Linked DNA regions of Danio rerio. The protein of the gene in region 2 interacts with the protein of the main gene of each other region in a biochemical or structural test. Links are inferred from orthologs where the notes say so. Each region holds a gene or a part of one and is shown on either strand. Other genes may lie near its edges.

Region 1 (3,500 bases), on a different chromosome or scaffold from region 2:
ATCCCTTTATAAATTGTTTACTAAAGATTAGAACTTTTAACTCTATGGTTTGTTTTAGGATCCAGACCTGTCCTCGATCTTGCTGGACAGCTGCTGAAGAATCTCTGCCGCCTGTCTATGGTAGTTGACTTGAGCTTGGACCAGAGCAGAAAGCTGACTCACTTGCTCAATCTGGTGAAACACAGTTAGAACATTAATAACTGTAACACATGAACACAAATAACGCCTCGATGATCACATATGAAGTTCAAGACTAGCAAACAATGGCTACATTTACATGCACCCTCACAATGTAATTACGACAGTACCATGAAGTACTGCAAGCGAGTTCATGTAAACAATACTGTGGTTATGATGAAGTTCATGTTTGGAGTTATCATAAGTCACAGTAAAATATGTAAAGCACTGCATTTTTCATCTGACTAAACGCTCATGCATGGGTCGAAAACATGCTGGATCAGAAGAAGCCACACTTCTTGGCATCATGCTCTTAGATGTTCAGAAATATACCACCTTGGCATTTCCGATCACCAATAAAACACATGATGCCCATGTTATGTAATGTTATATGCATAATCTCAGATTTCTGAGCTTCCCAGAAGTGTGGCTTCTAGGAAAAGAGGGAGACCGTGTACCCTAGGACTGGCCAACAGGTCCATGTACGCCAGGAGCACTTGGAGCCTATTTTAAAGCAAAAACATCATAACTCTTAACAAATGATCCTAATAATAGCAGGAATCATGTAAACGGCACTGAAAAGGTTTGCCCGTGTCATGTTAACATCTTAATCATTACTTTGAGTATTGGCAGCAATCACACTGCCAACCATGTAAACATAGCCATTGGATGAGATGCAGTGATTAATGGAAAAGGGGTGAAACCTGTGAGATAAGAGGAAAGAAAGACTCACTGGATACAGCATATAACACAAAAAGCACAGATAAAGTACAATCAGAGTCTACAGAAGCATGAAATGGATGGTGAGCAAGGGCAGGCACAGGACAGGTCACAGATCTTACATCGTTCTCCAGAAGATTAAACATGCTTTGTTCGGCAATCTCCTTGGAGTCGTCAAACTTCTCCAGGGCCTGTTTGATCTCATCCTCTGTGACTTTTCCTTGCCTTTTCTTCTTATAGTCAAAGTCCAATCGTCGCCCCTCCAGCTTCTTCAGGTGATGCTGTCATGAAACATGGAAAATGAAAATGTTGCTGTTCAGTTACTGACCTCTAGTGACATTCCGTCACACCAATGTTAATTCTAATGCAGTGCCTCCATTAAAGCGTTAGTTTAACAGAACTCACCCTCATGTTGTTCCAAACGGCCTGAGATATTTATTCATTTTCTGAATACAAATTAAGACACTTCAGGTGTAATCTGAGAGCTCCCTCATCCTTTATAGAAGTGGTCACCAAACTTGTTCCTGGAGGGCCGGTGTCCTGCAGATTTTAGCTCCCATTTTCAAGCTACAAGAATACTTTTGTGCGCACATAAAGAAAATTGACTTTAATCAACTGTTTCTTCTCCTCAGTGATGGTAAAGGTTGCACGATCACATACTGTGCTTGGTCGTGCCACTGATGTATTAACTCAGATGCTTTGTTTCAAAAAGCAGAAGCTGTAGACAGACACTGGGGGATTTGGGTGATATATGTGTACAATAAACAAACATTGATGATAAGGTTGAATAAATGTATTTTTTTTATGTTTATTCTTGTAGCTGAATTTCATTCATCGAAGTTACCTTTCTGGACAATTTAGGGACCTTGCTGTTGACAGAAGATGAGGGAGCTCCACCTAAAATCTCTTCATTTGGATTGACATGAGGGTGAGTAATTAGCATGATTTTTACTTTTGAATGAACAAACTCTTTAAATGGCTGGGACTGTGAACTTTCAAAATTGGGCTAAATAATCATGCCACTAATCTAAGATTCACAAGCAAATTTTAAATGTTTAAGTATAAATTATGCTTGTCCTACAATTCTGAATAGGCAAAGAAATTTGTTTTTATAAAAGTTATTTACTAGAGTCTCTGAATTGTTAATTACTGCAATTAATTAAAAAAAAAATTTAAATTAAAGATTTATTTTTGAATCCGAATGATGATTCATTTATAAAGTTCTTAATTCATTACGGAATAAATTAGACCTTGAACCAATATCATGAAATAATGATTCATGGTTGTTTATGGGGAATACTGTTCTTTTACTTTTACAAGCAGTAACATTGCCAAACTGAACCTCGTTCATGCAGATCCATGAACATGCATGCACACAAAAACTAGCACAAGAGTATACACTAAATGTAATATGGTTGTTTATGACATGCTAGTTTTTTTTGTGAAAAGTACACTTGTGTAGTTTAGCTGAGAGAAGGTACAATATTCAAAAATGTTCACTTTGAGACTCCTTTTCAAAAGTTGAATTACTTCATCTTGAGCTACTATAGAAATTAGAGTGTATATACGGAACAAATAACACAGAAATGATGGTATTATTGTGGTTGAAAGGCTAAAAATATAAAACCCAATACAGCCCTAATTAACCTTGGGATTAAATGGGTCTTTTTGCTGATGTGCATAATGGGATGAAGCACTTTGCTGGGTGTGACGTTCTGTATATTGTTTTCTCCCACACCCAGTCCAACAACTTCACAAAAACAATCCACATTTAAATGTGAAAACTGAAACAGAACATTGGCACTGGAGCTATTTATATGAGTTGTAATGGCAAGTCACTAAATGCCATGATTAATGCTAGGCTGTGACACTAATTGAATTAAAATGCAGCTCAGAACTATTTCAGAGCATTTAAATAGGTCTGGATTATGTGTTTCCAGAACAATATACTTTTTTACAATTTTTTTTTATTTGTATTTTTTCTATTTTGTAATTTCTATTCTACAATGAAATTCCACTATGCAAAAGAAAAGCAACTACAATTTTACCCCCAGAGGTCCCAAAACAAGATTTTTTTTTTAAATAAAAGAGTCTTACAGGATGACTGTATTTAATGACAAAACTATTGCTTTTAAAGAGTTTTCATGTCTCACCTGGATTTCCTTTAAGTCTTTATCATGAATATTCTGCAAGGGATCAATAAAGTTTTGTTTGACCTCCATGTCTAAAGCATCTTTTACTTCACCAAGCTCTCGCATGGCTTCTCCAACATCAATCAGAGCCACCCCTGTGAGACACAAGAGTACAATACATGTTTTACTTTCAGAGGCAAAACTGTTACACACAGATTTCTTAATACAAACATCAGGGTATTCATAAACGTAGGGTTTAAATAGGTAGCTAAAGAGCGTTTTAGGAAAAAGGCTGCAATTGAAATCACCTTGGTGTGTGTGTGTGTATAATATATATATATATATATATATATATATATATATATATATATATATATATATATATATATATATATATATATATATATATAAATATATATAATATTTCTTTTTTTTTACCTTTAATAACAATATAAAAAAGTGCTCTAATCA
Region 2 (4,030 bases):
TTTTTTTCTCCTTTAATTGAATGGGTAGAGAGTATAGACAGGAAAGTGTTAGGGGGAAGGATCGGCATAGGACCTCAAGGCGGGAATCATGGGGTGCCATGTGTTGACGCACTACCCACTACACCATTAGCGCCGACTGAACTAGCATTATTGAATTTGACAAGCAAAATATATTTTTTGATGATTTAGGATTAAGCCTATTAGAAAACAGCTTTTAGTAAAATTAAAATTTACAAACTTTTTTATATAGCGCACATTGTTTTCTTTTAATTGAACAATTAATCCATGCTGAAGTTTGTTTTAGTAATCTTTAATTAACGTTTGACCATTTGCTTCTGTTTTTGGAGTGGCGGTCCTTCTCTGTTGACATCAGTTTGATGCTTCAGCCACAATATTCTTAACCACGCAAATGAGCGCAAATCTATTATTTATTATACACATCAATTAATTTCCAACAACAAATTGACACTAAGTTACATTTTAGACACAATATTGTCTGTTTTTTTCTGTTTCGCTAATAAAAAATAGAAAGCCAAAGCAGAACATTTGCGCATCTCACAAGTAGCACTGCAGAGTTGAGTTCCAGAAGGAAACCATTTTTGAGCCAATGATAGAATCCATTTATAAAGATGGTCCCCTATTTCTTTTCTAAATGAATCAGCCATTTTGAATGAAACATTTGAATGAACGAGTAAGTGAATCACTCATTAGGAAAGGGACTTGGTGCCACACCTACTGGCAGTTATAGTGTCATATTTATTCATCAGTAACAGAACTAAACCTGCACAAACATACACTTAGCAACATACTGTATAGTTTAACTTTAGTTACTGAAAATTACCCCAAAATATTGAGATATTTTTTTTTCAATACAGACAATGCATACTGCCAAGACATTTAAAAGATGACAGTTAAACATAAGACAAGTACAAACAAGTACATGGCCAGTCTCAAAGTTACACTGTAATTATTGACTATATAGTATGTTATGCATTAACCCTCCACAAATGTTTGTTTTGGTGTGAATTTCAGTGTTTTGGTGATTATCTTCAGAATTATCTATTTTTTCTTTTAATCCGGCGACAGGGTGGATTTGGATTTGTTATGAAAACAAACAGAATTAGCAAGTACCCGCCAAAATAAAAACAGAGGCTGAGAAACTGTACCAAGGTTCAGACGCAGAACTCCCAGGATCCCATAGGCATCCAGCATCTTGGTGTACGATGCTTTTATGGTCTCTTTCTCTGCCGCCGCTGTGGATGACATCAAAATATTTACTTAAAATCTACATGCCATAATACTACATACTATTAAGATGAAATAAATACTTAAATGTGTCATTTTGTTTTGATTCTTACACCTAAGAAAGACAGAGAATCAATGCTAACTAAACATTTAATAGTTTAATTCAGTAACTCAGGGTGTGGACAGTCTTACACAGTACAGCAACAGCTCCAGACTCGAACATCAGACATTCTTCTCGATTTCTGGTCTCCACAATCACACTGTATGGAGGTGGATCCAGCTTGTGATAAATACGATAACCTTTACTGAATGCCATGGCTCGACACAACCTATTTCAGACCTGAATGCAAAAATAAATCATTTAAATGGAAACACACCATATAAAGCAAATGACACAGGGGTTGTGGAGACAATATTCCAACCCTTAAACCACCGGCAATTTCAGATATGACTGAGGTAAAGTTGGTCTTATATTCGCACATTCAGAGTTACTGCTTTAAAATATAATTTCAGAAAATAAGTCTTAGCAAATTCAAAATAGTGATATTATATAAGAGATATAACAGCAAGTGCCTATCAAGGTACAACATTGTTCACATAAATAGTGCTAAAGTTGTTTTGAAGTCATATTACATGCGATATCATACCGAATTTTTAAAGTAACATGGTATACAATATAGAGACCCTGTCATAAGATATCGCTGTTCAAAAATGAACAATGTGCGATTATAAAACTAATTGTACCCCAATCTAGATATGCAGGTGCAGCAAATGTCGCATCGTGCAACCATAAAAACACACAATTTAAAGTGGTTATTAGTACACCCTGTCACACCATTGACATTAGAGAGGAAGGAAATAAAGTGGGAAGCTTACACAATTCCTGCTGTTATAAATTCGTGTTTTTGCTCTAATGGTCATGCAGGATAAAGGAAACACAATGCTGTCGAAAAAACATCAGCTGTGCTGTTATTTCAGCATCACAACAGTGAGGGATGAAAAATCAAGCCAAATCCCATCAAAGCCGAAGCAACGAGCTAAAATGTCCGACTTAACTGAAACGAAACATGCAGAAAAACAGGATGACAGGTGCTCATCACAATCAAAACTGCAACCGAAATCTATAAGGATGTTTAATGCATGCATATACACAGCCTGTCTAACCTTGGGCCACTGTCTCGGAGTGTGGCTGAAGGTTAGCGCACAAGAAAATAGCAATCATCCGTGTGATAACTAGAATGAAGAAGATCGGGCCCGACCGGCCCTTGATCTGTCAAAATCAACAGTTCAAACAGACTGACAGCCCCTAAAAGCCTTTATCACGACCAGCACTGACGGCTAACGTTAGCCGGCTAGCTCTCCATCGCCTTCCTGAACCATATAAACAGACATTTTACTGATCACAGAGCCGCTATGTGTTCATTAGAACAGGAAAAGTGGAGATTTAATGTGTCGGTGTGTGTTGTGGATTTATAATGATGCTTAGTAAAGAGATGGTCTTGTGTACCTGTCAGAGTTGTGCCTGTCTTGCCCCGGTTGGATATCGTATATGGCTAGAAACAAAATGATTAGCGGGGCAGGTAGTTCAAGAACAGAAATACAACAGAAACCTAGAGAGGAAGACAGCAGCACTGTGGTTACGCCCAGAAGCGTTTCCAGGACCTTAAGCTAACCGCTGATTGGCTAGGTGTGTGTCATGTGATGTAGAAAGCAAGCATTATTAAAGGGATAGTTCACCAAAAAAAGTAAAGAAATAAGAATAAATACTTATTTTTAAAATACAAAAATATTGCATCATATATATATATATATATATATATATATATATATATATATATATATATATATATATATATATATATATCATTAAAAAACAAATAGGAATATGTTAAAGTTTTAAATTGAAAATTGTAGTCTATTGTCAGTAAGAAGACAAATAAACTGCCCAGCACATTCAACTTTTCTCACTTGGCCTTTCCGATGGGTCATTTAATCCAGGGGTTCCCAAACTTTTCAGCCTGCAACCCCCAAAATGACATTGCCAGTGACTCGCGACCCCCAATATCCTCTTAGCTGGTTAGAAATACAAAAATCTTGAATGCAATGGCACACACACACACACACACACACACACACACACACACACACACACACACACACACACACACACAGGCATATTCTTCATTAAATTTTTTAATGTATGTTCTATAAAATCAATCTGCTGCATCTGACACTATTGCTGTTTCTTTAATAATATGTAATTACCAAAGGGGTCGTAATCCAGTAGAACTAGTATTTATAAGCTACTATAGCAACTATGTAGCATATAGTAACTATAAACAACTCTTTTTTTTTTCTCTTCAGTAGGTTATGGATAAAAATATGGTAAGCTCGGAGTAGAGCCACTGCTCCTCCACATCAAGGGATGTCAGGCATCTGTTTCAGATGCCTCCTGAACACCAACCCATGGAGGCCTGGGAACGCCTCGGGATCCTTTCTGAAAATCTTGAGGAAATGTCTGGGGAGAGGGAAGTCTGAGGTTATCTCCCACGACCCAGCCCCAGAAATGCAGACAAAAATGAGATGAGATGAGATTTTCTTTTGTGTTCTACAGAAGAGTAAATGGTGAGGACGTTTACATTTGTGGGTGAACTATTCACCCATGACAGTAAGATACAATAATACATTTTATTAAATAAAAATTATTTATATTATAATTATATTACTTTAATATTATTCTAATTTTATATTTTGTAATGCATGTGTCATTATTGTTTATTATGTT
Region 3 (3,618 bases), on a different chromosome or scaffold from region 2:
AGACAGTTCTCATAATGGGATGAACATGGTCAGCAACAATACTCAGGTAGGCTGTGCTCTTCTGCTGCTGTAGCCCATCCGCCTCAAGGTTGGACGTGTTGTGTGTTCAGAGATGCTCTTCTGCAGAGCTGGGTTGTGACGAGTATGACGATTTGCTATCACAGAACTGCCGCTCACTGGATATTTCCTTCATTCTCTGTAAAGCCTAGAGATGGTTGTGCGTGAAAATCCCAGCAGATTAGCAGTTTCTGAAATACTCAGAGCAGCCCGACTCAGACCAACAACCATGCCACGTTCAAAGTCACTTAAATCCCCTTTCTTCCCCATTCTGATGCTCTGTTTGAACTGCAGCAGATCGTCTCAATCATGTTTACATGCCTAAATGCATTGAGCTGCTGACATGTGAAATTTGCATTAACAAGCCGTTGGACAGGTGTACCTAATAAAGTGGCCATTACATGATCAGGACGTTTGTTACAATGAATGAAAAAAATACTATTATCATACAAAATGGCAGCTTTATTAAAAACATACGTGGCATGCAGCATTCGATTATAAATCATAATAATAATTACATTCCCACAAATCACAAAAATGTAACAGTGAAGGGTCATTTCAGTAACCAAAATAATCATAATCATAGCTTTTAATCTATGGCTTATGCTCCAGTTATAATGTTTGTGCTCAACTTCATGAAGTTAATTAATAATAAAAAAAATAATAATAAAAAAAAGGCTCGCTGCGGACATCATAAATAACATGATTATAATAAATCATAAATTGTGTAGTGTGGTTTATTAGCTTAACGTAAATCGCTCCAGTCTCAGCAATAGATTGTCTCCACAAACCATATAATGTCATCATGTGATATATTACATTGCCTTCATTCACAATCTCACAACCAGCATTAATGCTTTCATTATTAATGTATCATCCATTAATGGGGGAAAGAATGATGACTGCTGTAATGCATTATCACAGATGCATTGTATATGGCCGCCTCCTCTTCACATGGCTTTAAACCAATAATAAATAAATACTACAAAATAATAAGGCTAACATAATCAAGTGCTGTTTTGGTTCCGTCCTCATATGAGCTTCCATACAATCCGAATCACAGCTACATCTGAGATACGAGCTACATTTATGATATATTCACCACAATGAAAATTTCCCTTGGCTATTTAAAGAAGCTGAAATGGATTTCGGGTCCCTTTTCGTGACTAGTAAAGCTGTGGTCGCATTAAAAGCTGCTCGGAGACATTTTAAACACTCTTAAAGGGACAGTTCACCCGAAAATGAAATGTACTCGCTACTCTGTAAACAAAACTACCATACATTCAAGTTGTTCAGACACAAATCGATTAACTTAGTGTGTTGAACATAAAACGCAAGTAAAAAAGCAAGTTTTCCCGAGAATTTCAGTTGTTTCAGCACATTTTTTATGAGTTAGTAATTGTATTAGTCTAGTTACTCTCCCTCAAGTGGTTCCAAACCTGTTAAGAGTTTCTGTTTTCTGTTGAACCCGAAAGGAGATTTTGAAAAATGCTGTAACTATTGACTTCCATAGTATGAAAAACAACATAGAAGATATTTGGAAGAATGCTGAAAACCTGTAACCATTGACTTCTCTTATTCAACTAAAGAAAGTCAGTTTAACAGGTTTGTGACTAATAATTAATGCCGTAGTTTTCATTTTTGAGTGAACCATCCCCTTTTTAAAGCATTTCCACGCTCAGCTACACGCTGGACTTGGGGTTTTTTGTGCACAAATTCACCTGATGCTGTTTAGTTTGACAGGGAGTTGTCGATGGCGGATTTATTCTGATGTTTTTGTGTGGAGATGGTGTTTAATTAAGCAGCGTTTCTCTCATTCTGCGGGTGGTTTTGTCTCGGAGCTCACAGTGTCGCATCAGATCTCGAGCCTCCAGTGGAAGAGAACTGCTCCAGAGCGTCAGCACAGAGTCCTCCGCTGAAAACACACACACAGGTCATCAATGACTTTCCTTGTGCTTTTGACACTACATTCACTATCAGAAGTATTGGCCACCTTGGCATATATGAGCTGAAGAATTCACAGACATTACCTTTCATTGTAATTAAAAATAACGAGGAAAATGTAAAAAAAATAATATTAATAAATATAGCTGCAAGCAGCAATTAAGGGGGCCCCAAGCACTTTTGGCCAAAAAGTGGCGCTGCTTCAGAAGTTTGAGAGTACTTTCAGGGCATGGGGTTGAAGATGTGTACCATGTTTTGTGATGATATGTGAAGTTGTTGTTAAAATATAGCATTTTTGGTCAAAAATCGAAATGGTCGACGCCCAAAATGGCTGACCTGTGAAAATCAGACATCATTCGACTCGACATGCTCTGCCGGATGTAATGAGACCAGTTTTAAGAGTTTCGGACGAAAGGTTGAGAAGTTATAAACCAAAAAAGCAAGTTTGTATCTCCGGACCACTAGGGGGCAGTGCATCAAAACTCCGCATAACCTCAGACCCTAGTTGTCATAACACACACCAAGTTTGGTGTGAATCGGTGCATGCGTTACAGAGATATCGACTCAAGTCCATTTTCGCAAGTTCTACGTTAAATTTGATCGCAAGTTAAACGAAAACGCTTGATCTAATCAACTTGAAATTTTGATTGTAGCCCATTCGGTTCAAAAGTTATGATAAACATACGTGAATGTTTGGACAAGTGGTGGCACTAGAGTTTGATTTTGAGACTTCATATTTGGTCTGATTAATGTTTAGACTGTCCTCTATGATTGTGCCAAATTATACAACTTTCCCGCATACGCCTATATGGGCTGCCATTCAAATCCGGCGAAAGAAACAGAAGATGAAGAATGCTAACGAAAGCAATAGGTGCCTATGCACCTACGGTGCTTGGCCCCTAATAATATAAATTCCCCAAATACAAAGTGGTCAAAACTATTAGCACCCCTAAACATTCTTAAAGGGCTAGTCTGTCATTACTCATAACTTGAGTATAACATTCTGACTTCTATTAATTAAATCAAAGGCATGGTTCACCCAAAAATGACCATTCTGTAAGTGAAGGCATAGTTAATACAGAATAGTTCATTGAAATCTCTTTGAATATATATTCATTCAAAGATACACTGCATCATGTAACGTTGTAACAACTACTTTTTTTTGAAGCTACATTAAAGAAATTGAGAGACCACAAAACAACTTTCAGAGATTCATGTGTATTTAGAAATGTATATGACAGCAGGTATGAATAATTATTGTTACACACTGGGGATATGAAATGATCAGCAGTCAACTCATTAATGATCACTATTAGACAGAAATAAGCATTCGATAAGTGTCTCTCATTGAATCCAGTATTTATAGCAATCCAAAAAAGATACCAACAGTCCTTAAGTGAATCACATGAAAGATCAAGTTCAGCAAACAGTTCATCAATGGCTGGCCACGGAATCAGTAGAAAAGTGGATGGAAAAAGTCTGTGGATATGAGGATGGATTGTCCAGGTCCTGTTTTGATGACTTAAAGTGGATACCAAAAAACCCTCTGCATATAAACAAACATACAATCAAAACCTTACCAACACCACACAAAACATATGTACAAAACCGAAATAT

Evidence for each region.
Region 1: the proteins of synj1 (region 2) and sh3gl2a form a complex in vitro, tested with the Homo sapiens proteins (2 studies listed by BioGRID and IntAct, with this or other methods). The link is inferred for Danio rerio from reciprocal best matches to the Homo sapiens genes SYNJ1 and SH3GL2.
Region 3: of the proteins of synj1 (region 2) and lrrk2, one has a biochemical effect on the other in vitro, tested with the Homo sapiens proteins (2 studies listed by BioGRID). The link is inferred for Danio rerio from reciprocal best matches to the Homo sapiens genes SYNJ1 and LRRK2.

The regions. Positions count from the first base shown.
Region 1 is NC_133176.1:28,387,946-28,391,445, forward strand, and holds part of sh3gl2a (SH3 domain containing GRB2 like 2a, endophilin A1), read right to left. Parts: intron 3,185-3,500; coding exon 3,051-3,184; intron 1,179-3,050; coding exon 1,020-1,178; intron 172-1,019; coding exon 68-171; intron 1-67. UniProt on the Homo sapiens protein: Implicated in synaptic vesicle endocytosis. May recruit other proteins to membranes with high curvature. Required for BDNF-dependent dendrite outgrowth.
Region 2 is NC_133185.1:31,460,492-31,464,521, reverse strand, and holds the start of synj1 (synaptojanin-1), read right to left. Parts: upstream 2,801-4,030; 5' UTR 2,753-2,800; intron 1,586-2,752; 5' UTR 1,562-1,585; coding exon 1,438-1,561; intron 1,254-1,437; coding exon 1,167-1,253; intron 1-1,166. UniProt on the Homo sapiens protein: Phosphatase that acts on various phosphoinositides, including phosphatidylinositol 4-phosphate, phosphatidylinositol (4,5)-bisphosphate and phosphatidylinositol (3,4,5)-trisphosphate. Has a role in clathrin-mediated endocytosis.
Region 3 is NC_133200.1:38,184,587-38,188,204, forward strand, and holds the end of lrrk2 (leucine-rich repeat serine/threonine-protein kinase 2), read right to left. Parts: exon of another isoform or gene 3,204-3,618; intron 1,973-3,203; coding exon 1,851-1,972; 3' UTR 501-1,850; downstream 1-500. UniProt on the Homo sapiens protein: Serine/threonine-protein kinase which phosphorylates a broad range of proteins involved in multiple processes such as neuronal plasticity, innate immunity, autophagy, and vesicle trafficking.